Ovis aries: one gene and its partners. Each later gene encodes a partner of the first gene's protein in a complex. Links are inferred from orthologs where the notes say so. Each region holds a gene or a part of one and is shown on either strand. Other genes may lie near its edges. The genes, in order: ASF1A, TLK2 and CDAN1.

Region 1 (9,841 bases):
GAGCTGGCTTAAAGCTAAATATTAAACAAAATTTAAGATCATGGCATCCAGCCCCATTACCGCATGGCAAATAGAAGGGGAAAAGGTGGAAGTAGTGACAGATTTCCTCTTCTTGGGCTTCAAAATCACTGTAGATGGTGACTGCAGCCATGAAATCAGAAGATGTTTGCTTCTTCACAGGAAAGCTATGACAAACCTAGACAGTGTGTTGAAAAGCAGAGATGTTACTCTGGCAACAAAGGTCCACATAGTCAAGCCTATGGTCTTCCCAGTGGTCACATATGGTTGTGAGAGCTGGACCATAAAGAAGGCAGAGCACCAAAGAATTGATGTCTTCAAACTGCGGTGCTGGAGAAGACTCCTGAAAGTCCCTTGGACGGCAAGGAGATCAAATCAGTCAATCTCAAGGGAGATCAACCCTGAATACCCTTTGGAAGGACTGATGCTGAAGCTCCAGTATTTTGGTCATCTGATGCGAACAGTCAATTCACTGGAAAAGTCCCTGATGCTGGGAAAGATTGAGGGCAGAACGAGAAGAGGGCATCAGAGGATGAGATGGCTGCATGGCATCACTGATGCAATGTACATGAATTTGGGCAAACTTCGGGAGACAGTGAGGGACAGGGAGTCCTGGTGTGTTGCAGTCCATGGGGTCTCAAGAGTTGGACACGACTGGGTGACTGAACAACAATTTTAATTCAGTTTAATTCTAGTACATTTAACTCACTCTTTCATCTAGCTTTGTGTGTGACCTCAATTTAACCTCAACTTTAAGATTCTGAAAAGCCCTCTGTAGATGAGCTTTGGAACTCAGAAGCAAGCTGCATCTAGTCTGTTCAGAATTCAAGGTGAGTATGCACAGTAGCAGATACTTCCTCTGAGAAATGTCTGCAGCACACAACCCCACCCTACAACCTACAACCTATATGACCACATCGTTTCACTCCATAGAACGCCCTTGATAAATGAACAACAAGCGGATTACATACATAGATTGTTAGGGCTGCCAGACTGGGTGGCTTAAATAATAGAAACCTGTTTTTTCACAGTTCTGTTCTGAAGGTTAAAAGTAAAAGATCAGATGTCAGCAAGGTTGGTTTCATTTGACCTACAAATGGCCACTTTCTTGAGTCCTCAAGCGGTCTTTCTTCTGTGCATGAGTGCCCTTGGCGTCTCTTTTTATGTCCAAACTTCCTCCTCATATAAAGAAGCTAGTTAGAATGGATTAGGGCCCACTCCAAGGGACTCACTTTAACTTAAACACCTCTTTTAAGGCCCTGCCAGCAACTACAGTCAGTCTGAGATACTGAGGGCATACATATGAATTTGGGGTCAAGGAGAACAGCATAATTCAGCCCATGACAATAGCTAACTAGGTTCATTTATCTCTGTCCTAGGCATTAACTTAGTCTTTGTTCGTTTTAGAGCCAAAGCAACCTTTTTCAGCCACCCTTCCCCCAAGCAGGCTATAAAGAGAGAAGTGATTTGAGGATTACATTCCATGTAGCCCTCTAAGTGTCATGTGGGTCCCCCTGGGTACTTCACATACGACAGCATTCATGGCAACCCATCTGCAGCAATGTGGTTAACTGTTTGAGAGTCACCAAAAAGTTGTTCAGCAACAAATCTTACAGACTGTCTCTGAAACCAGAATAATGCTTTTACAGTCTTTCCCCCTTAAGGCATGCCATTTAATCAGAAGTACACAAGGGCACATCTGGAAATCCCTGTGGTCTTCCTGGAAGGTATTATCATTGATGAGGAAACTACTGGAGCGAGTACCCAAAGGCTCTTTAATACTTTTGAGGAGCAGTAACAGTAAGAGTTAAGATAAGAAAGGCAACAGTAAAGGCCTGGAGCCAATTCTTGAGGCTTCCAATGAGCTATTAGGGCGGGCTTCCCCCGCCCCTTAAATACTCTTATATATGACATGATAAATGAAGAGTTTAAAGAAAATAAGCCAGAAATATTGGGTTGGCCAAAAAGTTTTTGGATTTTTCCGTAACACCTTACGGAAAAACTCCAACAAACTTCTCGGCCAACCCAGTAGTACTATCCAGGTAAATCTCAGTCTTGATGCTGAGAACAAATCTTACACACTTCACAATGACATCACCTATGAGCAGTGGACAGAGGAGCCTGGCAGGCTACAATCCACAGGGTCGCAAAGAGTCAGACATGACTAAAGCGACTTAGAACACGAGCAGATTAAAAGCGCACTTGATTTTTACCAAGCTTTTAAAGTCATTTTTATAAAGCAAATGGATTTCAATCTCCTCATAACGATGCCTGCAATAATGAGGAAACTGCATATATCCCAGTCTCAAGAGAACCTTGTTTTATGCTTCAAATGGCTATCGCCTATGTTCTGTGTGTCTTACAACTTACACTTCATCTGAGGCAGCCTTAGGCCCAGCACTAATAACAATGAACAGAGAATACAGTTTATCAGCCAACGTAATTTGCACCTGTCCCCACAGTATGACTGTTAAACTCTAATTTGTACAAATACCTGGGCTTGAGGAAACCCCTTCCAGTAGATCGTGGTATTTGCTAATCCATCCATGATACAATGGGATCCTCACCCTGAGTAGTTTCCCTAAATGTGGGAGGCCTGGGATTAACTGTCCCATTGCTGTTGTTCTATGGCTAAGTTGTGTGACTCTTTGTGACTTCATGGACTGCAGCATGCCAGGCCTCCCTAGCTGTCTCTTATTAACTTTCAAAAGACCATCAGATGCAGAAGTCTCATTAAAAGCAACCTGCAATGAACAGTGTCCAAAGAATGTTAACTGAAAAATTCTCAGCACCATACTAAGAGAAAACTTTCAGCATAGATGACACTTAAATAACTTTCTCTGAATTTAATTAACCAAGTGGTTTCATTCAAAATACCTGAAAAATGATGGTTTATGCAGCAGGGAAAAAAATCCCTTTATATTGCTCTTATTTAGAAAATAGAAACAGCTCAACAACCTTACACAAAATGTATTACAAGCTCTCCCTTTCCTACAAAGGTAGTCAAGAACAAACTGACGCTGAATGTCGAATAATCAAGTAAAGATTCCTCTGAACTTGCTCGTGGTGCCATACATTTTTACTTACTAACGGTTTAGGTCATGACTTTTTGGAAAATTGCACGTCTTGGTATGCTTTCGTGGTCTCTACTCGCCTTTTGCCTTTTCTGCTTGTATCTGTTGTCTTTACGGTCTTCTGATACTTGCATTTTCTCCTTTTTATGTTCCTGCTGTGTCCTCCGAACAGGAGAAACCGGGTATAAGTGATCCAACCTCAAGTCATCTTTTTATTCTAGACTTTCCAGACTGGAACGGGAGAAAGACGACCCTGGTGCAGCCCAAATACTACCTATTCCACAAAGTGTGGGTGGAAAAGCGTTTCCTCGCCCTTCATTTTGTATCTACTTAACTAACGGCGCTGTCGTGCCCAAACGTAGAGATTGGCCAAGAACTAGATTTCCAAAATGGCTTTGCTCCTTTTGAGCTGACATCAGTCTATAAAATGCAATTTACTTCCCCTGCAACCAACCTTCCCTCTAACCCAAATATTACCCAGTACACAGACAACTGAACCTAACCTAGTGTAGACAACGGATTCGCATCTCCTAAATTCAGTAGAGAGCCGACACAGCCGTCGGACTAATGTGAAGAGTCAGAAGGGGGAGTGGGGGAGACACAGAACAAACCCGTTACACAAACCCCAGAGGCGGGTGTCGCCAGGATCGCGCCCTCCCGTCGCCGTGCCCACGGCGAGCACGCCTTCCCGCCGTGGCCACGCCTCCTGCCGCCTCGCCGTGGCCACGCCTCCCTCGACCCCGCCCCGCTGCGGCCACGCCCGACGTGAGGCGCGGGAGCCGCCGGGCCGGGGGCGGGGCCTGCGCCGCCCCTCCCCCCGCCGCCGCCGCCGCCGCTGCCGCCGGCGGCCTCCGCGCGGGCCTCCCAGCCCGTATTCCACTCACTTTGTTCTCCGCCTTTGTCCTAATCCACACCAGCAGGTGGAGCCGCAGTTAAAGTTTCCGAGTCCATTCCGGGAGCGGGAGCCCATCTTGCTCGCCGCGGAGGCCCTCGCTGGAGGAGGAGGGTCAGAGCTCGGGTGCAGCCAATCGCGGGCAACGCTGCTAGTTATCAGAGCAGAATGGGCTGTAGTTTAGTGAAATAGGAAAGCTGCAAAACACTGTGGAGTGTTCCCGTGTAAATAAAAAGAGGAAAAAAAAGTTTCTCAAGTCGCCGCTGCACGACGTCGGGCCGGCGCCGGGGCGGGGGTCTGCGCTCTCCCGAGCGGCCGCGCGCTGGACTTTATTGTGCCGCAACGAGCCCCCCGTCCCCATTGTTTGTGTTTTTTTCAAAATATGGCAAAGGTTCAGGTGAACAATGTAGTGGTGCTGGATAACCCTTCTCCCTTCTACAACCCATTCCAGTTCGAGATCACCTTCGAGTGCATCGAGGACCTGTCTGAAGGTGAGTCGGGCGCCCGCCCGCCGCCGGGCTGTCAGTTGCGGGCTGCAGACGTTGAAAGTTTCCCGGGCCCGGCCTCACGCGGGCGGCCGGGGCTCGGCGCCGAGCGGGCTGCGGGCTCGGCTTTGCGGAGGGAAACTTGAAGTTGATGGACGACGGCCGGCCAGGCGCGCGCGGCGTTCGGCCGCCGCCGGGGCGCCTGCCGCGGCTCAACTTGCGAGGAACTTGTTCGAGCGGAGGTAGCCATGTTGTCAGCTTTGTCTGGCGGGCGGGCGCTTCGCGAGACCCGCACTCGCGCCCGCGGCGCCGGCCGGGGGTCGCGCCGGGCTGGCCCCGGGCACCCAACGGCCTCCGCGGCCCCGGCGAGGAGGTGGGAAGGCAGAGGCATGTGTGTGGTCGGCGCCGGCGAGTTCGCAGCGGAGCCATCTTACCGAGAGTAGAGAATTGGGCCACCGACCCCGGCGTCACGACGCCTCCTCTCCGCGGGTGACGAGCGCGGCGCCCCGCCTGCCCACCTTCCTGCCCCCGAGCAAGAGGCACGTCCATTTTTAGCGCTCACGCTGGAGTTACCGGACTCTCCGGGGTGGCCATGCCCGGCCGCTTCGGGGAGGGGAGCGAGGCTGTCCTCGCGCTGATTTCTGGTTCCGTGGACCAACCAGTGGGGGAGGCGGGCGCAGGCTCGGCCCCTCGGCGCCACGGGCCGGCGCTCTCCGGGGGCCGCGGGTGCTCCCGGGCCGGCGCTCCCCAGCCGGCACCCAGGATGCTCGGGGCGCCCGGGGATGCTGGCGCGCAGGCTCGCCCCGAGCAACGTGGGCTCCTCATCCTTGGTGACTGAAATCTAATCTTCTCTCTCTCAGGAAGAAACATATTGCTAAGCTAGCAAGTTACATTTAACCTGAGAGCAGAAATAAGTAAAATATTTAAATAATTTCCAGGACTTGATCACTGGCTTCTAAGTAGTCTGAAAGACTTCCTTCAAGAACGTGTTGAAATCTAATTACAGCAAGTCCACATCCAAATACCCTGAACATAAAACACAAAAGTGGGCTAGGAAATAAAGTCCTGATGGCAATGCAAAATTTAATTTTTTTTTTCTAAGTACGTTTTAAGGTCCTCAGAAAGACATATAGCATGTGCGGTAAGAAATTCAGAAAGCTAAAATTTGCCAAGGTCTTTCCGATTTTATTAAAACCATCCAGTGCTCCATTTTCAAAATTTCAAGGGGAAAAAAAAGTTTAACTTCATCGATGGTAATTTTACAGCTAAATAGGGGACAGGCTTTTTTTGAACTTACAATTATGTTTAGCAAAATTCATCTTAAATTATATGCTAATCAAGGCATGTAAAGCATTTTCACTTTAAAAATTATCCTTTAATCCCTGTATAATGTATTTTAGGTAGTGTGTAAACTATTTCAATTACAAAAACCAACATATGCTCATTGTAATAAACTTTTTAAAAGTTGTTCATACATATATAAAGTAACACTCCTCTGTACTCAATACCTTCCGCCAACATGTCACTCAAAAGTAACCATAATTACCACTTTAGTATGTGCTGTTCCATACACTGTAGTTTTACTACAAATATAAAGCACATATGCACATACGAAAGTAGGCACATTTTGAAAGACAATTCATTTATTAAACTAATTCTTAAATGGGCTGTTGCTAATAAAAATTAAAGGGGGTTTTCCTTATTACCGAACTTTGAAACTATTTGGTTACTAAAGTACTGCCATAAGCATTTCAGCCACTAGGCCCATTTTCATGCCCACTAGACATTTTTTTGGTTTTACTATCAACTGCATATAAAAATGGACAAATGCAAGAGAAATACAATAAATGAGTCCCTTCCAATTTATACTACAGTGTTTTAGGCATTAGAACTTCTTGAAATTACTGGTATTTCTCAAGTGATATCTTCCATTTTAGGAGCGAGTTCTCAACAAGGAAGTTAGATGATTCAGGATGTTGTTACAGGGCTTTGACAATGGATGGCTGAAACCTGCCATTGATGTGTTCTGTTTGTAATGGGATCTTTTCAGAACCAAGCTGAATCCTATCAATTTTTACAGTACTGATGTCAGGAATACACCTTACTTTGACTTGTCTACCTCACTTCCCAGGTACTTATACTGGGCATTTATTTAGTACTTTTTAGGAGTTTAAGCTGAGTCATACTGAAGCTGCAAAGGAATCTTTCAAAAAGGTGCCATGCTTATGTACTCCACCTAGAGGCTGTGTGGATTAAGGAAATAGAGTTTACTTAGTAAAGACTTCTTATAGTCCCATCTTTTATGCTGCTGCTACTAAGTCACTTCAGTCGTGTCCAACTCTGTGTGACCCCATAGACGGCAGCCCACCAGGCTCCCCCGTCCCTGGGATTCTCCAGGCAAGAACACTGGAGTGGGTTGCCATTTCCTTCTCCAGTGCATGAAAGTGAAAAGTGAAAGTGAAGTCACTCAGTCATGTCTAACTCTTAGTGACCCCGTGGACTGCAGCCAACCAGGCTCTTCCATCCATGGGATTTTCCAGGCAGGAGTACTGGAGTGGGGTGCCATTGCTACAGTTCTTTAAAATATTTGTTCTTGGAAGTGAAATATAGAATAGTCCAATGAGAAATTTTCACTGTATAATTTTGTTTCAAGTTCCAGAGCTTGGCCATCATTTTTCATACTTTAAATTGTCAATAGCCCTCACATATTTTGACTTTCCTTTAAAAGCTGCCCTGTAGCTTTGTTTCAGAAAAAGTCTGAGTACTTAAGAGAATTTAGTTGAAATCTACTGTAAGACCTATACAGGGGTAGGACAGCAATCCACAGATGTAAGGAGAGGCTCTCCTGTTAAGTCCAGGAGATAGGAGACCTTGGGTGTGTTTGGTCTGATGGTCACCAAGCCTGTACACATTTTCATTGACTTTACTGCTGACTTTGTTATACCTTCTGTGGACTGCTGATTTCTCTGCTTCTTTACTGAATGGAGCCTTTTTAAAAAATGTTGATCAATACTTAGAGCTGTCAGTTGAATACATACTTAAAACATAACTGAATGAAGCTTCATACTTTAAAACCTCAGGTTTGTACTAATTCACAAATACTACATACTTTCCCCTAGATCACAGGTCTTCCCAAATAGTGTAATTAGCTTGAAATTTACTTGGTGACTTCCCTCACTCCCACCTCAAATGGAGACACCTGCAGACTGAAGTTACCATGATTAAATGAAACAGTTAACTTTTTAAATAAGTGAGTAAACTACTCCAAACTATCACCTGTGTAAAGCATTCCATCCTGTCCCTTCTTGTTTCAAATACAGGGGGCAAGGAAATGAAGCTGGGTTCAAAAAAAGATTAAGAACAAAACAACTGATGCTGATTTATAAATAAGTATTGAGTGTTTTAAACTCAGTAGCTATAGCAAGCATCCATAGCATAAAAATTAAGGTACCCTGAGTTACAGCCTATACTCCTTAAGGCTAGATTATCTACCCCTCGGCCTCTGCCCTCAGCCATGCCTTCCCACCTCCCGCAGTTAAATTCCTTTATTTCACTGTTGATTTGAGAGCTAAAAAGGAAAGAATTTATCTCAGATTTTTGGAAAGAGCCCAGGCTTTGGAGTCACAGAGACATAGCTTGGATTTTGATTCTTCCATTTACTAGCTGTGTGAATTTGGGCATATTACTTAACCTATCGAGAGTCTCAGCTTTACTTGTGTAACATGTATAATTAATCCCATGTGATACCTACGAAGCTGTTGAGGTTTTGAATAACAGGTGTGAGGTGGCAAGACCAATGCCCAGGTATTTTATAAAGGGATGTTTATAAGTTATAACCACATTCCTGCACCAGACCACAAATGCCAGCTTATACCAATTAAGGCAAGATCACAATCCATAGTAGTACAGATACTTATGAAATGAACAAACAATTATGGAAACCTCTGTGTGACAAATCCCAGGCTTCTCTTTACTTGGCTAGTTGAGTAGTTTCCATACCCCTTTCTCCTTAAAACCATTTCTCCACTTGACTTTTGGGTTACCTGCTTCACTGGCCACTAATTGGGTAACTTTAATTGATCCTATCTCCCTGACTTCTTAACTTTGGAGAGCTCCCTGGGCTCACTCGCTTGGAATCCCACCTATTTTCAAGGTTTCACATATGGACAGTTTCTAAATTTTTACCAGACTTATGATCTCCACTTATTCATTACCTTCTTCATCCCTGGAACTCCTGATGGTTTCCCTTCCCTGCCCCCAGAAAAATAAGTGGCTCTTGCTGGCTCGACCTTCAGGATATATCCACAGTGTTACTACTTCTCCCCTCTATGGCTACATGTGGTCCAAGACACCATAATTTCCTGCCTCAACTGAACTATCCTCCTGTTTCTTCCTTTGCCATCTTACAGTCTATACTAAACACAGCAACTAAAATGATCCTCCTAAAATGAAAGTCACCCACTCCAATATTCTTGCCTGGAAAATCCCATGGACAGAGGAGCCTGGTGGGCTACAGTCCATGGGGGTCACAAAAAGTTAAGACATGACTGAGCGACTAACGCTCACACACAAAATGAAAATCAGGCCATGTTGCTCCTCTACTCAGCATTCCAGTGGCTTCGCATGCCTCTTCATGATAAAGCCACAAATCCTCACGGTGACTTCCAAGCCCTGCATCCTCTGGCTACACCTCTCCCCTCCAAATCTCCCAGTCAGCTGCTTTCTCTTTTGCTCATTCTGCTGTTGCCCCAGTGGCTTTGCTTTTTCTCAAGCATGTGCCTGCCCATCTGGTCTTAGTACTTGCTGTCCCTTCTGACTAGATACTCATACTGCTTGTTCCCTCTCTTAATCTTCATCAGCAAATAGATAATCTCACGAGATGTCAGATGTGGGACCCTGCATCTAGAAATGTACTAGGAACTGAAGATAAAGTGGCCAAGGTCTGGGACAGAAGCATGACACAGTAAGAGGAAGAAGAAACCTCAAGGATCTCTTACTTCACTGAACTGCAGTTTATAATCACTATGAATGAGCAGTGCCTCGCCTATTCCTGTTACCTGTTGAAGGAACAAAACGAGCTTCAAAGTTATACAAGAATGACAACACATGATGGCATTAGATTCTCCACAGGTGACCCAGAAGCATCACCGCCCCCCATCCCTGAGTCTGGCGTAGACTTTGTGGAGTGGATCCAGGAGTCAGGCCACACAGTGCTAAACAACCTAAGAGGACCAGGAGGTCTCAGATAATTTGTATTTGTAGAATGGTGTTCCTCCCCCTACTAATGAGGAGGCCTCTTGCAAAGAGCAGTCATTGTGCTCATCTCTAGGTTCTTCTCACAGAGCACACTGTAAAGGGTGCTCAGGAAAGAC
Region 2 (9,970 bases), on another chromosome or scaffold:
CCTGGCCGCCAGACGCTGTTCTGTTTTGTTAGAACTGGGGAGTCTGGAGGAGAGAGCACTGACCAAGTGTCTACTGCATGTCAGGCGCAATTAGAAGGCATTTCCTATCACTATTTCAACTCTAGTTTTAAAAATATTTTCCTTTTTATTTGGCTGCACTGGGTCTCAGTTGAGGCGTGTGAACTCTTAGCTGTGGCATGTGGGATCTAGTTCCCTGACCAGGGATCGAACCTGGGCCCCCTGCATCGATAGTACAGAGTCTCAGCCACTGGACCACCAGGCTAGTCCCACTATTTCAACTTTCATTAGAGCCACCCATGGGGTTAGGTGTGCAGGCCACAGTTTTCAGATGAAGAAGCTGAGAGGTGAAGAAATGGGGTTTGAACCTAGTTCTGTGCGACCACCACTACCCTGACGTTCTACATGGCCCTGCCCTCCAGAATTTCTGGTGGGAATACCGCCTTCACAAAATCCCTTGTTCTTCACACCATTAGAAACCCTCAAGGGTAGGGGAAGAAGAACATAAACAGACAAGGTGACTTTTATATTTTTGTCTACTGGGCCCTCCCCTCCCCCCATCAAATGTAGTGCTTTCTTTACAGACATTTTTCCTGTTAGCAAGTCCTTTTTCTGTCATGAAGAAAACAGCCCCATGAGCGATTCAGCACATTGGCAGCCTGGTTCCTGAAGCTGAACCGTGTGCTGCCAAAACAGTCTAACGACGAACGTAGACGTCCTTGGTAGAAACATGAGGTTTGAGGACCATGTATTCGGGGATTATTCTGTCAGGCATACACATCATCTCATTTTGTCCTCCAACAGCCCTGTGAGGTGTTATGTTCTTTTTTTTTTTTTTTTAACTTTCTTTCTCTTCTATGGAGTTGATTCAATTAGAACCAAATAGTTGTACTTTTCAATAATTGTGTGCAGGCTCAGCTGTGTCCAGCTCTACATGCACTATGATCTATCAGGCTCTCCTGGCCATGGAATTTTCTAGGGGAGAATACTGGAGTTTCCATTTCCTCCTCCAGGGCTTGTGCAGTTTTAACACCATTTGATGGGTAAAGAAACTGAGGCTTAGAGAAGTTAAATATCTTGCCTAAGGCAACACAGCTGGTAAGAGGCAGGGCCAAGATGAAAACCAGGGCCCTGGACCAAGAGTTTGTCCTCTTAGCCAACATCTTGCAGGCTCCTTTTAGAAAAGGTGCACGTGAGGGTCCCCTACTTGGTGAAACATGCCATAGTCTTTTCACTGAAGATGGTGGATATTATAAAGCATTTAAGAAGATTGTGGACATTCATTAGTTGTGGTATAGGTAAAAGGGCAAAGAAGGGCTAAACTAGGTTTCTCCAGTGTCTTTCTCAAAGTATCTCCCATCAGTATCAGAAACCACCAACCAACCAAAAAAAATACCAGGGTGGTGGTTCAAAAAATCAAATTAGAAACCAGTGGATACCCCAGTCCCTCTCCTGGAGATGGTCTTGTGTGTATCATACACTTTAGGTTCTAAGAAGTGCTGAAATAAAGGATTCCACTTAACTTTAACCTAGAGTCCTGAGGACCAATGTACATCCACTCCCTTTAAAGCATTTAACCTGTTGAAACCTGCAGAACACAGCTTAGGGAACGCCAGCTCCCTTGTCCCTTCTGTGTCTATGAACATGGACCTGGAGGACTTGTTATATGCTACCCTGAAGGCAGGATCAATGGGAACATCTAGATGAATCCCTGTTTGAGCCTTCTGATAGCAATTGGGCTTTTGCATGGGGACACCATTTGCCAGCCTTTGAGAAGCTGAGTTTCATAAAGTTGCTCTGTGAGCCAACACACTTTAAACAAGTGGGTTCATGAACTCAAGGTTAAATTATATCGTGAGAACCATTGGACAACAACAAAATCATCCATCTATTATTTCTTTTTTCTGATTGTTAGTATTTGATATTTTCACTTATATGCTTATGTGTGTTAGTTGTTCAGTTGTGTCCAACTCTTTGTGACCCCAGGGACTGTAGCCCGCCAGGCTCCTCTGTCCATGGAATTTTCCAGGCAAGGATACTGGAGTGGGTTGCATTTCCTTCTTTGGGGGATCTTCCCGACCCAGGGATCGAACCCGGGTCTCCTGCATTGCAGGCAGATGTTTTACCATCTGAGCTACTAGGGAAGCCTAGTAGTTTATATGCTTATAAACAGAAGCATATAAGAGGGTATCAGAGGATGAGATGGCTGGATGGCATCACTGATGCAATGGACATGAATGTGGGCAAACTTAATGGAGATGGTGAGTGACAGAGAGGTTTGGCATGCTATAGTCCACGGGGTCGCAAAGAGTTGGACAGGACTGGGTGACTGAACAACAAACAGAAGTACACCATTTTTGTGGTAAGCAAATTCATGAAATTCCTATGAGCAATTCCTCTCGGGATGAGTGTTAGATATGGGGTGGGCTATGAACAGACCTATGATAGTGTCAGTGTTCTGACATGCAGGGAAAAACACACTAGGCAAAGTGAAACAAAATCTTGTCTTTTCCTGAATTTCAATGACTAGTTTCAGTTTTATTTTTTTCATAGTTACCTCAAAAAATGGAATCATAGCCCTTTAGACCTGGAAAGGACTCTGGGAATCCTCTGGCCCAAACTCCTTCATAGATGAGGTTGGCGACACTTGAAAGGTTAGGTAACGGGCCCAAGCAGTTTGTCTGTGGAGGAGCTGGCCAGAGCTCAGCTCCAGCTCTGTCCAGTGTTCTTTCTCTTAAACTCTTCTCTTCTGAGATGTTCCAGTGTCATTTTAAGCACTTACTTTTTCGATCATTCACTGTAAGGACAGAACTTGTCTCAGGTGGTTTTCTCTTTTGAGTTGTAGAGGAACATACTCTTGGCTCTCCTGCCCCCTTGATAGTCCTTACCTTGCCCTTTTTCCTACCCTCTGCCTGGAACTTGCTCTCCCCCTCCCTTTCAAACACTGTTATCTATCGAAATATGTGTGCAAGGCCCAACCTGGCTGGGATTTGAAACAAGGTGACTCTTGGCTGAATGGATTTTTTTCTACAGTGCTTGAATGTGCCCAAGGATTTGGAAGGCTGAACAACTAACAATAAGTAAACTGCCATCCTTTACCCTTTCAGCAGGTCTGTGTTCCATGAATACAGGAAGAATTAAGAGTAAGGAAGCAAGAAAGGCAGAAACATCATCTGAAATACTTGCCTACCCCCTGGAAAAGTTCAAGGCTCTTGCTCATTTTATGAATTTTCCCCAAGCCACTCGTTGTCATACATCTTCATACATCTGATCAAGGAAGCATCAGAGGAAAATAAAAAGTTGGGTATCTGCGTAGAAGTCAGCGTCCTGGCTCAGATGTCGGTGGAGAATGTGATTTTTCCTCTGGTGCTGGGCGATCAGAATGGGAGCCTTCTGTGCAGGAAGCCGCCTAGCTGAAAGAGCTATTGCATCCTGGTCTATTTCCCATTCCTCGGTAGAGAGGGGCAGGCCTGTTTTCCCCATTCTAGCACTTATTCTTAGAGCCCCCTAAGTACCCAGGAGAGCCTTGTTTTTAATCAAAGGTTGAAATGGAACCTCCCCCAGGGCGCACCGATAGAGTCCCTTTGGGGCAGCGCCCCCCCACCTCCCGCCTTCCGAAGGGCAACACTGTGGTGGGGGTGGGGGCTCAGCCTTGATCCCAGAGCACCACTTGACCCTAAAGACGCCCTGCCAACCAGGTACGTGGAGGTGAACCTCTGTCCGCTTTCCACGGCGCAAACGTGGATTTGGGGAGCGGGACGGTGAGTTTGGAGCGTGGCGGGGCGTGGGAGCTAGCCAACACGGGGGGACACAGCCAACTCACTAACTGGGAGTCTCCGGGGAAGTTCGGGCGGGGTTCGTCGGCTCACGGCTTTCTTCCTCTAAAATCCATCCTGGGCAGAGCAACCTCACTTCTCACCCAAACTCGTGGAGATCAGGGATTAGGCGGGCGCAGGGTTCGGCGAGGCGGATCCGGGAAGCGCCCGGCCCAGGCAGCGAGGCCCCTCCACCGTTGGTCCGCGACCCAGGGCGCCGGCCCAACCGCTCGGCTGGGGCCGGTCCCGCGGGGCGGGGGCCGATTTTACGAAGACGGCTGCGGGGTCTCCGGGACTCCGGCCCAGCCGGGTCAGACCTCCCCTCGCGTCGCTGTGCGTCCGTCGGCGCCGCCCGTCAGCCCGCCCTCAGCCGCCCGGCGAGGCGGCGGCCTCCTTCGCCTGCGCGGGGTCCCCTGGTTAACCCCTGCCCGGCAGGCCGGCCGCTGATTGGAGGAGGCGGGGCGCCGGGGCAGCGGGGACCCCCCCACCTTCCTCGTCCCCTCCCCCTCCTCCCCCACTGTCGGCACTTCCCCCACCCCCCCAGGACCCCCCCTGCCTCCCAACCGTGCAAATCTCGCGAGGAAACACGCGGTTTCACTAGTGTGTTTACACCGATCACTACTAATCCGGACCGAACCGATCCGGATTAAGGGGCCGGAGGCGGGTCCTGGGCTCCAGCGGTTCCGACCCCCCCGCCTTCCGCGCCGCACCCGAGTGGCCCCTAGCCGAGCGGGCCCCCACCTCCCGGCCGGGCCTGGGCCCTTCTGCGCCTCCCTTGGCCTTTGTCCGGCGCCAGGAGACCGGTCCCGCGCCCCCCGCGGCCGCCCGGGCCCGGGCCCGCGTCAGGCGCCTGGCTCTGTACGCGAGCCCGGGGATCTGCGGCCTCCGAGGCCCCCCTCCCCCGCCCGCCCTCTCGTGGAGCCCAGCGCCGGCGGCGGCTGCCCGGGCGGGGGGTTGCGGCGCTCAGGAGAGGCCCCGGCTCCGCCCCGGGCCTGCCCAGGGGGAGAGCAGAGCGGTCCGCAGCCGGGTCGGGTCGGGGCCCCTCCCGGGAGGAGCGTGGAGCGGCGGCGGCGGCAGCGGCGGCGGCAGCGGCGGCGGCAGGTGAGAGGCTGAGCCCCGGGCGGGGGAGGGCGCCGGGCCTGAGGTATTAACCGTCCGGGCGACCCTCTCGGCTGAGGAGGCTGCGGCCCGGGCCCACCCGGGGGCCGGCGCCGGGCCGCAGCTCCCCGGCGCTGAAGCGGGAGGGGCTTCCCGAGGGCTGCGGGTCGCCGAGGGGCCGGGTCGAAGATGGGAGAGGCCCAGGCGGCCCCGGCCTGGGAGTGGGGCTTGCGGCCGGCGGGGAGATGGGGGCACCCGGGCAGCTGGAGGCCCCGGCAGCCTCCCGGGCGCCCCCGAGAGCTGGCCCGCCCTCCCTCCGTGACAGGTGGGCCTGGAGTTGGGGAAAGTTTGGAGCCGGCGGGAGACGAGGGGCGCCGGGACCAGGCCCCATCGGTCCTGCTTTCCGGCTGTGGGCTACAGGGAGGATCCCAGTCCAAGGCCCCGCTGGAATGAGACTGAGTGGATCTTTCCTTAACATGAGTTGACATTAAATGGAATAACCGCTGGGGCGTCATTTTCCGGGCCAGGCCTGGGGATGGAGGTTTAGGAAACGTGCCGAGAGACCCTGGGGCTTGAAGAGAGGCTGCAACTTCTGCCATTCCGGCCTCGATTAGGGCAGGGCGAGACTCGACGAAGGCCACTTAGGGAAACACTGTCTCAGTCTCTTTTTTTTTTCTTTTTCTCTTTTCTTTTCTGAGATACCTTTCTGCCCTTCTGAGAATTTCCTAATTCCCTCTCTAACCTGCACTTGTCTGTGTGGGTGAAACTTTAATTTGCCACCCTTTCATTCCTCTTTGCCCCAGGCTCTCAATCCAGGAAGGGAAATGAAACTGGAGGCTTTGTAGGGGTTGTTACTGAAAATTGTGGAGTTGTTAGATTGCAGAGGGGCATGTTTAATTCATGTTTTCAGTGAACTTTTAAATCATGCCAATCATTCCAGTAGCTATTTAGTAATATGTTCAAAGGGGTTGTAGGTAATGGTATATGTACCTTTTCTACTTTTAATATTTGGGCGGTTTCCAATGCGTTCTGCAAGAGATGATTTCTTGCAAACGATGGAGGTGTTTGCTGAGAGTAGCCTGTGCATTAATTGGTCGTGGAAGGAGTTTAAAAATGGTGTCCTCTTGCCCCTCCCTGCTTGGAAGGAGTGCTAAAAGCAGATGTCTAGAGCAACCTACTGCTCCAGGGAGTGGCAGAGAAAGATTTTGTAAAGGGGTGGTTATGGAGCCATACTAATTTCCTGAGTGGATGCAGGTTGATGGTTTTACCATGGGTTCTCTATTAAAATGAAGTAATTAATTCCTTTTTTCATGCTCCTCAGAGAAAGGAGGCGTAATACAATAGCGTTATTTTAAGTTATTAGTAGCTTCTGATTCATGCTGTATTATTTTGAAGTTATTATTAATGATTCATATTTTTAGTTTAAGAACTAGTTCCTGTGTGTTTGGGAAGGAAATATCCTTAAGTACTTACCTAAATTCAAAGGTTGATAGAAGAAATTTTCTTTTTTTGTAAGCTGGGCTTTGCTCAGCTTTTACAGAGATTATATGAAAGTTTTGAGGGTTTTTTTTGCTGTTAAAGTCAAATCAGAACTAGTTAAGAATAAGTGACCCTCAGAAGAAGACTTTTGAGCCACTTTGTAACTTTAAGTGTATTACTATTTGATATAGTGCCTTGTGGTTTATTACTTGTATGCTATATTTATTTGAGGTTTACCTGTATATGAATATTCTGCAAAATAGTTACTGTGCATTTTGTTGTATCCAAGAACTGGTTCTTCATGTTTTAGCTTTTCGGGTCTCACAACCTACTTTTTCTTTTTCAGTAGAAATGATGGAAGAATTGCATAGCTTGGACCCCCGACGGCAGGAATTATTAGAGGCCAGGTTTACTGGAGTTGGTGTTAGTAAGGTGAGTAAAATGATGATAATGAACACTGCTCATAGCCAACTTGAAACACACTTAAAAACAAAGAGCAAACTGGATGGATCATGCAGATGCATCGAAGGGGAGGAGATCTGGCTCACAGTTCCAGTGAACTTTTAAATCCTATCAGTTGTTCCACTCAAATATTTAACAGTAGTCTTGAAGGTACTCTGTATGGAAATATTAACTTCTTTTTACCCTCTAATGTGGAAGAGATTTCCCGTGGGTCTATTGCAAGGATACTAACAGGATGTGTCTCGATTCTATGCCACATTTTGTCAAAACTCCTCAGTCACTCAGACAAAAACTGCTAATGAATAAGTATTGGCATAGCTTCTTTACGCTGGGCTTTTTGTATGGTTACGTGTAGAGTTTTGAAAAACATGCCCCTGCTCTGTCACCTCCCCAGATCTGCAGTTCAGCAGATTCCTCATGATTGTACCCCAGACTCCTTTTCCTTTCCTCCTGTTTTCCCTTCTTGTTCACTGCTTTTGTTCCAGGAGCATAAGATCAGGCCCCGTTCACGGGCAGTGTTACGGCTTCCTGTGCATCTTTACAAAACTGCTGCCTCACCCCGCTGCTCTGATAGGAGGGCTTTAGAACAAAGTATAAAACCTATTTATGATTTTAGTACAATATGTAAGATATATTTGTGATGTTTTATTTAAAATCTTCACCAATCCAAGATGTTGTTTACTTGGACCTGAGACTAGAGAATTTTTGATCTTTGACTCCTTCCTGTACTTTCCAAGAAATATTATTTCTCATGGCACCTTGGATCTTAGTCTCATGCTTAGTTTCATGTTCTTAGAGGAAAAGGTGTTTGTCAGAGTTCAGTTAGAAAAACTGCTTTGATGAATGTCATAATTTTGGTGGGCTGGAATAACTTGATAGTCTTTGTTCATTCAATAGATATTGAATACCTGCTGCGTACTAGGCATTGTGCAGGATGTTAGGGATGACACCTCAGTACAGTACTTCCAAGCCCTTACTGTTGAGGGGAGCGTGGTATAGAGTATAACTGGGATGGGAGCTGTATTAGACCTGTGGTGAGCTCTAGTAGGAACACAGGATTTGTTACACATTTTGTAATTCTTGGTTTCTTCGCCTCTTTAATTAAGTAACTGACTTTGGTGGCACTTTAGAGCAGCTGTGCTCCTGACTGTTGTTATATGTTAGTTACATGTCTGAATTCTACATGTCTAAATTCTCTGATCTAGGTGAAGTAGCTTCAACTGTACTTGAGTAGTATATTTGAGTGTTAAAGTGATCTCTGATTCAGTTGATTGCCTAATAATGACTTTTGCTGGTAATTCAGTAAAAGTCTTGTATCCAAATCTGTCTATTCAAATGCTCACCCACTGTGTAAGAGTAAGTTTGTATTTAAATTGTATACGGTTTAAACTAATTGAGCTTTGTTAGAATGCTTTTCTTTCCTTCTGGTTTTAGGTTCCTGGTAGCTGTATCCAAGTATACTTTCCATGGGGTAGAGCATAAGTTATGGGAATGAGTAACATTGTGAATTCTGCTGCCCAGGCCCAGCTAAAATCATGTAACTGAGGTGCAAAAAACTTAATCTGTTTAATAGGAGTTCTGCTTTAATATATAGAAAGAAGTTCATTTTTATCGAGATGTTTTTGTATCATTAATTGTGTTATTTTGAAGTTTCCAGTCACGATAAGTATATTGATTACAATAAATCTGTTATTCTTGGACCACTAGGAGTGTTTTTACCCATAGCAAAGAAACTTGGCAGGGGCGTGGCTGGAAAGCAAGTAATTATCCTGTAGTTTTGTGTAGTTAGGAAAAGAAAAGAGAAAATCTCCATTTTGTAGGACTTCTTATGCATGCAAGCCATTGTTTCTCTCAGACTGCTTATTTGAAATAGGATCGAGGAGGGGGCCATGGTACTGGGAAAAAAGGTGCTTTTGGATAGACGCTTCCTTCAAGCCTGAAACTCCTCATTATGGGTCATCATTTCTCAGTGAGGATGTCGCTGTGTTGATGACAGCTTTCAGTTTTGCAGAGATCATGAGTGCTTTCAGCCCTTGGAAGTGGGAGAGCAGAGTGGCTTTCCTGTGACAGTGCCATCTAGTGGGGCTGGTGCAGCCGCATGGCTGTCTCTTGAGTTTCTCCTAACTATTCATAACATTTTCAGTACTGTTTGATGTCCATAGAAGGAAGAAAGTTGGTGCCACTGTGGATTCTTTCCTAGTGGACAGGATGTTTTAAGTAGCTGCAGTCTTTGAACTTCCTGGTGACTGTCCATCTTCTGTCATGTTGCCTTGAGTGTTTTGCACCTGCAAATCAGATACACAAAACTTAGGCGAAAGAAAATGGCCATGCCGCCACGTTTATTGCTTGCAGTATTTAAGTTACTCTTTGCTTATATTTAGGTTGTTTGCAAATTAAAATTTTTCTTTCACATTGCATTTATGCACATTAATTTTATATTTAATGTTTAATGTATAATAACTAGTAAAACAGAAGCATTTGTTATGTATTTTGGGATGTGCCATGTGGTTTTGTTTAAGAGACTGATGTTTTCTATCATCAGTGAGTGGGTAATAGAGGGAAGGAACCTGACATGCATTGTGAAGCTATAACTGACTTTCCTCCTCTACTCTAGCTGCCACTTTTTAGGACTACCTGTAGCCATTCTCAGCATTTCTGAGATGATAGGTTAATTGAGTTATGAACCTGCTTCTTCATGTCTTATTGACTTGGCGTGTGAACGCTGCTTCTTTTTTTTTTAAGATCTCTTCCTTAAAGTACTAGATAATCCACTTCCAGTAATGTGAAACTGACTACCTTGTATTCGTATGTTTTCAGTGAGAACTTAGCACAGTTTATATTCCCTACTCTCTCCCCTTTTGACTACTTAAATACAGATAGTCTCATCTCTGTGATTCTGGAGACTCTAAAGTAGGTGGAATTCTGCCCTTGCATGTACTGTTTATCTGTACCTAGTTGACTTTTAATGCTAATAGAGTAACAAATACTTCCATAGTATTTTCTGTGTGCCAGATACTGTCCCAAGTACAAAGAAAGCAATAAGTGAATTTAGATCTTTCATAATAGGGATACTAGTCTTAATAAACATTCCTTCCCTT
Region 3 (9,363 bases), on another chromosome or scaffold:
GAATTAGGAAAACCTATGGCTGCTTTTCAACAGGACCAAGCCTTCCCGCAGGATCAACCCAACTCCAGTGAGCGAAGAGCGATCACTTTCCAAGCCCAAGACTTGCTTCACCTCACCCCCAATCAGCTGTGTTCCCAGTTCCCAACCCTCAGTCCTAGACACTAGCCCTTGGGGCCATGGGATTCCCTCAGGGTGCAGAAGTCTGCAAGAGGAGCGGGAGATGCTCAGGAAGGAGCGGTATGGCTTTGCTGCTCCTGGGGATGTCAGCTTCCTTTGGGGGGTGGGATTTGCAGGGCTTTTCCCTGTGATTAATTTGTCTCCTGGGAACCCTGGGTCTGTTTCCTGGGCTGTGGACAGGTCTCTAAGGAACCTGAGTGTGGCTGTGGAGGGGAAGCCATGCTGACTGCTCATGACGTTTCTCTTTCCCCGGTAGCTCTAAGCAGCTGCAGCAGTCACCTACTCCTGCCTGTCCCACCCTAGAACCAGGATCTCCTCACCCCAGCCGGACAGGACACCTCACAGCTGAACCCGCTGACCCTACCAGAGTATCTTCCCGCCACCGTCTGGAGCTGGTTGCCCTTGTCTACTCTTCATGCATTGCAGGTGAGTGAGAACAGAGCCCTGGAATGAAGACACTTGTAGAACTACAGGGTAAAAGAATTGAACTGAGCCTTTGTTTTGACTGGCGTTCAATACCCTGGAGTTTCCTTTTTAACCAGAGAACCTGGTACCAAACCTCTTCTTGGAGCTTTTCTTCGTCCTTCAGCTCCTTACTGCCCGGAGGATGGTGGCTGCCAAAGACAGTGACCTTGAACCAACTCCGGGAGCTGTAGGTTGGTGAACAAGCCTCTTTTTGAGAAATGATGTCTGGAAATGAAATTGTTTTTAACCAACAGCTTGGTACTGTCCTTCTAGATTCCCTGGAAAGCCCTCTGTTCCAGAGTGTCCATGATTGTGTCTTCTTTGCAGTGCAGGTTTTGGAACATCAATTTCAGTAAGTTTCCCCCGCTGAGGCATTTGAACCTTATTCACATTATTCACTTGATTCTCTGGCTACTTCGGGGGCATGCTTGTGCTTGACACAGATGTAGTGACCCTAGGCCTTTTCCTACATGTAACCCTTCAGTTTCGTGTCAAAGCTATGAATTTAGCCCTTGAAAGAATCAAACTGCCCCCAGTAGTTTTGGTAGCTGACCTTTGGGTTTATTTACTGTTTCTGCTTTGCTATCATTAGCTGCTCCATAGGGTCTCGTTTCCTTTCCCTTTATCGTCTTTAATCCTTGGCGCATGACTTTTCTTTTTTTTATGTACCTGCTCTGTGCTCCAGGTAACACACTGTGCTGTGCAGATGCCAGCTGCCTATTTGCAGTCTGTCCCATTCTCAGTCATGTGTGCTCTTATCCCTGTACAGCGTTCTCTCCCACCTGGACAAAGGGACATTGAAGCTGTTGGCTGAGAATGAGCGATTACTGTGTTTCTCACCGGCTCTGCAAGGTCGCCTCCGAGCTGCCTATGAGGGCAGTGTCGCCAAGGTAGTGACCCCATCTTAGACATCTTCTAGCCTGGATCTGACCCTTCCTAGTCTCATAATCCAGGCGGCCCAGCTCACACCACTGTAGTGTCATGCGGCCTAAAACTCTGGACTAGAATATGGGGATGAAGTTTTCTGAGCGTGAACTCTGCTTTCAGTCCCTAATGTCACTGTTTTAGGTCTCTCTGGCGATGCCACCTTCTGCTCAAGCTGTCTCCTTTCAGCCAGAAACTGACAATCGTGCTAACTTCTCCAGTGACCGAGCCTTTCATACTTTCAAAAAACAGAGGTGATAAGAAAAGGGGACTCTGGGGGAGGGGATGAAGCAGCATTTTCTCCGGGATAGGCAGCCTATGTTGTTTTCATAGAAACTAGATGTTTGGCACTAACGGGTGTAGTTTAGCACCACCAGGCCCTTCCTAGCAAACATCTTAAGGGCCACTTAGCCTCATTCTCTTTCACACCCATGGACTCGCACCTCTGACAGTAGCAGCTTTCTCGCAGTGTAATGACTTTGGCCACAGGGTTCTCAGATGAGAGTGCCAGATTAGCCTTAACTGCCCACAGAAGCAAGTGAAGCATGTGGTGTACTACTGTCGGGTCTGTGGGATTATCACATAGAGAACCTTGGAGAGGATAAGCAATGGAGCTGTGAATGGTCCTGTCTACAGTTCTGAGCTAGAGAAGGCACTCCTGAGAATGAGTTAAGCCAACTGTGCTTCAGTTGATCAGACATCTTATGTGTCTGCCAGGGATGTGTTTTACGAGGTACTTCGAGAGTGGGAAGATCGCCATGAGGAGCCTGGCTGGGATTTTGAGAAGGGCTTGGGCAGCAGGATCAGGTATGTGCTCATACACTGATCACTTTTTCCTGCTTCCAGCAGTGAGCAACTTAGTGGTGTTTGGGTAACTGATTAGAGAAAGGCTTCTCTCCCCACCCCGAACTCCTTCCAGCACAAAGCTGTTTTCTGTCTTCCTTAATCTCTTAGTTACTGCCACCTCTGCCTCTACTCAAAAGGGATTTATTTCTCCAACTCCTTCTACTCAGAAATCATTTATACTTGCTCTGTGATTGCAAATGATTGATAAAGTGGAACACTCTTATTCCAGGTTGCGTGAGTTTTTGCCTGTCACTGGCTTAGACCCTTTCCAACCTCTATTTTCTCCATCATCTAATCTGACAATACAAGATAACTTTGTGTAGCTGGATAACTAGGATACAGAAAGAATATCCTCTTGTCTGGTGATCTCCCATCCACGTTGGTCATGAAGCTTACTGGCAGTCAGTGTAGACTGAAGAGGAGAAGGGTGGTCTCATTTCATGTTTGGTTAAGTGTAAGGTTAAGGGCTTCCCTGGGGGCTCAGATGGTAAAGAACCTGCCTGCAATGCAGGAGACCCAGATTCTGTCTCGGGGTCAGGAAGATCCCCTGGAGAAGGAAATGGCAACCCATTCCAGTATTCTTGCCTGGGAGATCCCAATGGACAGAGGAGCCTGGCAGGCTACAGCTCATGGGGTGGCAAAGAGTCGGACATGACTGAGCGACTGACAGTTTCAGTAAGTGTCTCTCTAGCCTTGAGGGATCTTGGTGCTAAGGAAAGTATCCTTTACCTTTTCCCATATCCTTGTGCCAGCCAGCTCTGGTAGAAGGCTGCTCAAGCCCCTGGTAGAGGGCTGAAAGTCTCAAGGATTGGCTTGTTCTCTCAGATCTTTCTCCCCCTCTTCCTCCCATAACACTCCATCCCTGCCTCTTATTCCTCAGAGCCATGATGGGTCAACTCTCTGCGGCCTGCAGCCACAGCCATTTTGTTCGACTTTTCCAGAAACAACTTCTCCAGGTAATTGCTCCAGCAGGAGATCTGTCTCCAGTGGACAGTATGTATTATAGGTGCCAAGGAATGGCTGGCACTTTGGGACAGGACAGGAGAACAGGCAGGTCCTTGGCTGAAGAGTAAACAAGAGTTCTGCTCTTCCTCTGTGGGCCCCCTCACACACCCAGCTCTCCTGGCCCTCCTTCAGTCCCTCCCTGCTTTCTTGCCCTTGCTTTGTGGTGTGGTAGAAAGAGTGCAAGGTTAGGTCTGGTTTCAAATCCTCGTGACCCTATGCAGATGTTGAATCTTAAAATTTCAGTTTCTTCACCTGTAAAAATAAGAATATAACACAGACCTCAAAAAATACATCTATGGCACACAATATAGGGTGGGCACCCCGTATTGTTCACTGCTTCCTCCTCATTTTCTTCACCCCTTCTTTCCAGAAAAACTCACTGGTTTATCAATTTCTCTCCTCCTCCCCCTGCCCCAGATGTGTCAGAGTCCTGGTGGTGCTGGGGGCACTGTCTTGGGTGAGGCTCCGGATGTGTTAAATATGCTTGGAGCTGACAAGCTGGGGCGGTTGCGGCGCCTACAGGAACGGCTTGTGGCCCCTCAGAGCAGTGGGGGCCCCTGCCCACCCCCTACCTTCCCAGGCTGTCAGGGCTTCTTCAGGGACTTCATCTTGAGTGCCAGCAGGTAAAGGTCCCCTGTCTTGCCGAGAGTGGGGGAAGAGGCCTGAAAAAGAGGTTTGTGTTCCCAGAAGGGCAAGAGTTTGCTCTTCTTGGCCTGGAATGTCAGTGGGTGGGACTGGGGGATGCCCAGCCTCCTTCTAACCCACACTTCCTGCTTCCATTTCCCTTCTCACTCTCTCACCTATGAAGGTAAACTCCTTGTTCCTTGACCTCCTGTGTCTGCCCTACTGAGCCTTTCTGTCTGGAACACCACCTCTATTATCCTTCCTGCACCTCTTCCAGTACCTTTTTTCCCCCTTCCCTTCATAGCTTCCAGTTTAATCAGCATCTCATGGATAGTCTGAGTTTGAAGATCCGAGAACTCAACAGCCTCGCCCTTCCTCAGCCTGAGCCTAGTGATGAGGATGGGGAGTCAGACGTGGACTGGCAGGTTAGAAAGCAGAAGAAAGGAGGCTTTGCTTTAGAGGGGAAAGGATATTTTCAAGAAGTCTGTAACAGATGTGGTTTTGTTCTAGAAGCCTAATGCTTAGGACCTCTTACTTCTTGATGGCCTGCAGGGTGAACGGAGGCAGTTTGCTGTGGTGCTGCTCAGCCTAAGGCTTCTGGCCAAATTCTTGGGCTTTGTCGCTTTCCTGCCATACCGTGGGCCTGAACCACCCCCGACCCGTGAGCTCCAGGACTCCATTCTGTCCCTGAGGAGCCAGGTGAATGGGGGCGCTGGTAAGGAGGGAGCTGGGAGGAGCCGCATGGCAATGGCGTTAGAAGGCTTTCCCCAGCCCCTGACTGACCCTGGCCCTCCCAGGTGCCCCCAGTCCTGGACGTGCGAGCTCTGCTGCAGCAGGGGCTGCGGGCACGCCGAGCAGTGCTCACAGTGCCCTGGCTGGTGGAGTTCCTTTCTCTTGCTGACCACATTGTCCCCATGCTGGACTATTACCGCAGCATCTTCACTCTCCTGCTGCACCTGCATCGGTGAGTCAAGAGAGGGCAAGGCTTGAGAAAAGGGTGCAGGGAGAATGTTGTTGAGACTGCTGCTTTTTGAAGAGGGCCAAGCAGCTTGTGCTTCCTGTGTGCTTCCATAGCTATAGCTGACCCTCAGGGGAAAGGCCAGGCCTTGATCCACAAGGACAGACAGTGGGCAGTTATTTGCACTTTGATTGGCCCTTTTCTGTTCCTACTGTGGCCGAGCTAAGAGTGAGTACAGGTCTGGGAGAGGTGATGAGACATGGCTGCCTACACAACAGCAGTCCCTTTTAGGTCTCCTTTTGAGAATCACCTTCCCAGTGATAGCTTTTTTTTTTTTTTTAACTCCATTCCATTTCTCTCATTGCACAGATTCCACTCACACCCTCATTTACCTTTTAGGAGCTTGGTCTTATCAAAGGAAAGTGAAGGGGAGATGTGTTTCCTGAACAAGCTGTTGCTGCTTGCTGTCCTAGGCTGGCTTTTCCAGGTTGGTGGAATGAGGGTCCAGGTTGGGGAAAGGCGGTATGACTTCTGTGGCTGGAAATGGGCAAAGGGAAAGTGTAGGACTCTGACAGAGAGCGGGACCAGACGCTAAAGGCTCAGAGGAGGAAAGATGGGGTTGCCATAGAGGAAGGTGGCTTTGAACCTGGTTGTCTAAACCCTGGAACCATGAAGTTGGAGGTGTGATGAATCCCTAAAGTGCTGGCTGGCACTCCCCTAATCTTTTGCCAGATTCCCACAGTCCCTGAGGACCTATTCTTTCTGGAAGAGGGTCAGTTGGATGTCTTTGAGGTGGACACAGTAGCCTCAGAGCATGGCTTGGTAAGTATTGGGGTCCAGCCAGAGCCATGGGAACCACAAGAGTAAAGGAGGTAGCCTGCCTGTCAGCGGGCCCAGAAACACAAGCCAGAATAGAGGCTGAAGTCTCACGTAATTCTCTAACCCGACCGCCCCATTTCTGGGAGGAAGGGAAGCTTCCCTTCCGCAAACTGACCTGTTGTCTCCCGCAGGACAGCATGCCTGTGGTGGACCAGCAGCTGCTCTACACTTGCTGCCCTTATATTGGTGAGGATACTCTTCCCCAAGGGTCCTTGGTCCTTGGCCTGCCCCTTCATGAGTACCCAAAATGCATCCCATGGGCCCAGCACCCTCGTACTTTGTTTTGTGCTTAGGCGCTCCCTGATGCCTCGTTCTGTCTATTCCACAAATGCTTAGTCTGGATGCTTGGGAGGGTGGGACAGTTCTGGAACTAAGCACATGGGCTTCTCTGATGCAGGAGAGCTCCGCAAACTGCTCGCTTCATGGGTGTCAGGCAGCAGTGGAAGGAGTGGGGGCCTCGTCAGGAAAATCACCCCCACCACCACCACGGGCCTGGGAGCCCAGCCTCCCCAGACCACACAGGGGCTGCAGGTAAGGGGCAGGGTGGAAGCAAGGGCCACCTCATGGGTAAGGGAAAGGGAGCCCTTGCCTGCACTGCTCCCTCCTCCCCACAGGCACAGCTGGCCCAAGCCTTTTTCCACAACCAGCCGCCCTCCCTGCGCAGGACTGTGGAGTTCGTGGCAGAGAGAATTGGTTCTAACTGTGTCAAGCATATCAAGTGAGTCTGAATTGAGGGGGTTGGGAATGAAGGTGTTGCAGGTCCCAGGCTCATTTCCTTATCCTTTTCCCCCTTTTAACACCTTGTTGCCAAACTGAGGAAAGTCAGCTGAGGGGTGGGGACAGGGGCCCAGTGGGATGGGGAAGGCTGAAATGGCTAACATTCTTTCAAGTTAGTTCTGACCTGGTTTGCTTGAATTTGCAGCCCCTTTCCAATTCAGCCTTTCCAACTACCTCAAAATCTTGCTGTTCCTGCTGCAGGGCCACGCTGGTGGCAGAGCTGGTGCGCCAGGCAGAGTCGCTTCTTCAAGAGCAGCTGGTGACCCAGGGACAGGAAGGAGGCGATCCAGCCCAGCTGTTGGAGATCTTGTGTTCCCAGCTGTGCCCTCACGGGGCCCAGGCGCTGACCCAGGGGCGGGAGTAAGATGCCAGTCTGTTGGGATCCTCTCATCTCCACTCTGCTCTTAGCCTTTCCTTTCCTGTCCTTTTTTTTCTTATATTGTTTATTCCATGTCTTCTCCCACCCTGCTTTTGTCATTCTATTTTTGCCTGCTCTGTAGGCTCTTATCTTGGTTTTTAGAGGTTTAAGGACCCAAGTTTAGAGTCGAATTGGAAAGGCATGTGGTTGGGTGTCCAATCTCCTGGCATCTGGGCCAGAGAGCTGAGCATGCCCTCCCCTGTGGCAGAGCTCTCCCAGCTCAGGGAGTTGGTGCACTCAGGGACCCAGCTGATGTCTCAAGACATCACTGACCTCTGTCTCCTTTCAGGTTCTGCCAAAAGAAGAGCCCAGGTGCCGTGAGGGCACTGCTTCCTGAGGAGACTCCGGCAGCCGTACGTAGGAAGTAGTCCTGGGGTGGTGGGCTGGGCTGGTGGGAGAGCAGTGCTGTGGGGCTGTGTGTGTCAACATGCACATGAGGTGGTGGGCGGGCCAGTCTTGGACTTGGGCATTCACCACTGTCCTAACTTGCCCCTGACTCAAAACTACTTCTGTGTCACAGGTTCTAAGCAGTGCAGAGAACATTGCTGTGAGCCTCGCAACAGAGAAAGCCTGTGCATGGTTGTCAGCCAACATCACAGGTAAGGTCCAGGGAAGGGGAGTAACTGACCAAGTTTTTCGAGTGGACTGGCAGGAAGTTGGAGGCCACTTGGGGGAAGACAGGACTCAGGGCCAGTTGGCAACAGGGAAGGGCAGGGGTTGGCATGGTGAGCCTATGCAGGGCTGCTTTGGTGACTCTTCTCTGTCCTCCCTCTGACTTGCAGCACTGATCAGAAGGGAGGTGAAAGCGGCCGTGAGTCGCACGCTTCGCGCCCAGGGTCCTGAGCCAGCTGCCCGGGGGGAGCGGAGGGGCTGCTCCCGTGCCTGTGAGCACCATGCTCCCCTCCCCTCCCACCTCATCTCCGAGATAAAAGTACACAGCTCCCTACTCCCTTCGGCTCCCCTCCTCCTGCTCCCTGCTCTTTTCCTAGTTGCCCTTCTTTCTTCCTCAGCTCCAGTATTTGTGTAGCAGCTTTCTGTGTTGTCCAGCTAGTTTCCATTTTGTTAACTGAATGGAGTTAGGCAGGGCTAAATGGAATTGAATGGTTTTAGTAATTGCTTTTCTCTGACTTTTGTACTTGAATCACCCAAAAGGGTAAAAGGGAAGAGGGTAGATGTGAAAATTGTTGACTGAGTACATGGTACATAGATGATATCGGGAGTGGAGTAGGGAATGGCTATCTAGTGCAGTAGGAAAGTTCTAAGGAACAGTCATCCCAGTATTGGGACAGTATTTCAGAAACACTCTCCTATGTGGGAGATGATGCTTGTTTGGTTACAGGCAGTAAGAATAATCTATCAGTGCTCTTAATTTGATAAAAAGAATTTATACTGTCTAGAACAGGAATCAGTGAACAATTCGTGGGCCAAATCCAACCTGCTGCTTGTTTTTGTAAATAAAATTTTATTGGCACATGGCCGCTTTCATTCATTTACAAATGGATTGGAGCTGTTTTCATGCTCTGCCGCAGAATTGGAGTGGCTGGGGCAGGGACCTAAACTAGTAACTGGCCCAGATCTGGGGTAGTAGTGTTGTAATAATGATTGAAACTAGGGACAAAAGAGGACTGACTCAAGTTCTAGAGTATATAAGACGGAGAAGGAAACTCTCAGCAGCCGTTAGCTACTGGTTTTCAATACACAGATGATTTCTGTCCTGAGGCCTCGACTCTCCTGAGAAAATGAATGGAGAATCATGAGGGACAGAAAATACCGCATGTACGTGATAGGACATAAATGCTTTCAGAACTGGCTTGGTACGGCATCTCGAGCTCTCTGGCAGCACACTGCCCCTTGGCTTACCTATTCCATCTGTTCCCTCTGTCCACTTGGTTGCTTCTCCCAGCTGTGCTGTCCTGACCTGCCCTGCCCAAGTCCCAAGTCTAAGGGCACCTTGGCCCATCACTTCACCCTAGAGCCCTGTCTTCCTTTCTGCCTCTCTCCACTGGCTGATCCCCATCCCAAGCCACATTCTCTGTGGCCTCCTTGGCCCTGGCCTGGCCTGAAGCCTTACTCTGCGTCCACCCTTCCTCTCTGCAGGACGTGCTCTCCTTGGCTGTGGGGCCCCGGGACCCTGAGGAGGGAGTTGCCCCTGAGTATCTGGAGCAGCTCCTAGGCCAGCTGGGCCAGATGCTGCGGTGCCGCCAGGTGAGACATGACATGATGCCCTTCTTCCGTATCCTTGTCTGGTGCCTGGTAATCAGAGCTGCACTGGCCCAGGGCTGCTGCTTGA

What was found.
Region 2: the proteins of ASF1A (region 1) and TLK2 are in contact, whole or in part, in a crystal structure (PDB 7LO0), measured with the Homo sapiens proteins. The link is inferred for Ovis aries from reciprocal best matches to the Homo sapiens genes ASF1A and TLK2. Residues at the interface, in NP_054753.1 of Homo sapiens: Val45, Ala48, Glu49, Glu51, Asp54, Asp88, Val92, Thr93, Val94, Leu96, Arg108, Gly110, Tyr111, Tyr112, Arg145, Thr147, Phe149; in NP_001271262.1 of Homo sapiens: Arg11, Arg12, Gln13, Leu15, Leu16, Glu17, Arg19, Phe20, Thr21, Gly22, Val23.
Region 3: the proteins of ASF1A (region 1) and CDAN1 are in contact, whole or in part, in a cryo-EM structure (PDB 9CVC), measured with the Homo sapiens proteins. The link is inferred for Ovis aries from reciprocal best matches to the Homo sapiens genes ASF1A and CDAN1. Residues at the interface, in NP_054753.1 of Homo sapiens: Gln5, Val6, Asn7, Asn8, Val9, Val10, Val11, Leu12, Asp13, Pro15, Asn20, Pro21, Phe28, Asp37, Val45, Ser47, Ala48, Glu49, Ser50, Glu51, Glu52, Asp54, Asp58, Ser59, Val60, Leu61, Val62, Gly63, Pro64, Val65; in NP_612486.2 of Homo sapiens: Arg195, Arg196, Ile197, Asn198, Thr200, Val202, Lys390, Leu391, His470, Glu471, Glu472, Pro473, Gly474, Trp475, Asp476, Lys538, Arg541, Arg544, Leu545, Gln546, Arg548, Leu549, Met550, Ala551, Pro552, Gln553, Ser554, Ser555, Arg806, Lys807.

What each region holds. Positions count from the first base shown.
Region 1 is NC_056061.1:19,401,835-19,411,675, reverse strand, and holds the start of ASF1A (histone chaperone ASF1A), read left to right. Parts: upstream 1-4,136; 5' UTR 4,137-4,366; coding exon 4,367-4,475; intron 4,476-5,633; exon of another isoform or gene 5,634-9,841. UniProt on the Homo sapiens protein: Histone chaperone that facilitates histone deposition and histone exchange and removal during nucleosome assembly and disassembly.
Region 2 is NC_056064.1:46,639,396-46,649,365, forward strand, and holds the start of TLK2 (serine/threonine-protein kinase tousled-like 2), read left to right. Parts: upstream 1-5,009; 5' UTR 5,010-5,120; coding exon 5,121-5,256; intron 5,257-6,753; exon of another isoform or gene 6,754-6,756; coding exon 6,757-6,842; intron 6,843-9,970. UniProt on the Homo sapiens protein: Serine/threonine-protein kinase involved in the process of chromatin assembly and probably also DNA replication, transcription, repair, and chromosome segregation. Phosphorylates the chromatin assembly factors ASF1A and ASF1B.
Region 3 is NC_056060.1:36,247,387-36,256,749, reverse strand, and holds part of CDAN1 (codanin-1), read left to right. Parts: intron 1-33; coding exon 34-237; intron 238-433; coding exon 434-603; intron 604-719; coding exon 720-833; intron 834-915; coding exon 916-994; intron 995-1,411; coding exon 1,412-1,532; intron 1,533-1,710; coding exon 1,711-1,820; intron 1,821-2,283; coding exon 2,284-2,373; intron 2,374-3,292; coding exon 3,293-3,368; intron 3,369-3,834; coding exon 3,835-4,040; intron 4,041-4,345; coding exon 4,346-4,466; intron 4,467-4,593; coding exon 4,594-4,740; intron 4,741-4,838; coding exon 4,839-5,005; intron 5,006-5,398; coding exon 5,399-5,486; intron 5,487-5,731; coding exon 5,732-5,821; intron 5,822-6,009; coding exon 6,010-6,064; intron 6,065-6,275; coding exon 6,276-6,409; intron 6,410-6,492; coding exon 6,493-6,596; intron 6,597-6,856; coding exon 6,857-7,015; intron 7,016-7,362; coding exon 7,363-7,426; intron 7,427-7,593; coding exon 7,594-7,672; and 6 more. UniProt on the Homo sapiens protein: May act as a negative regulator of ASF1 in chromatin assembly.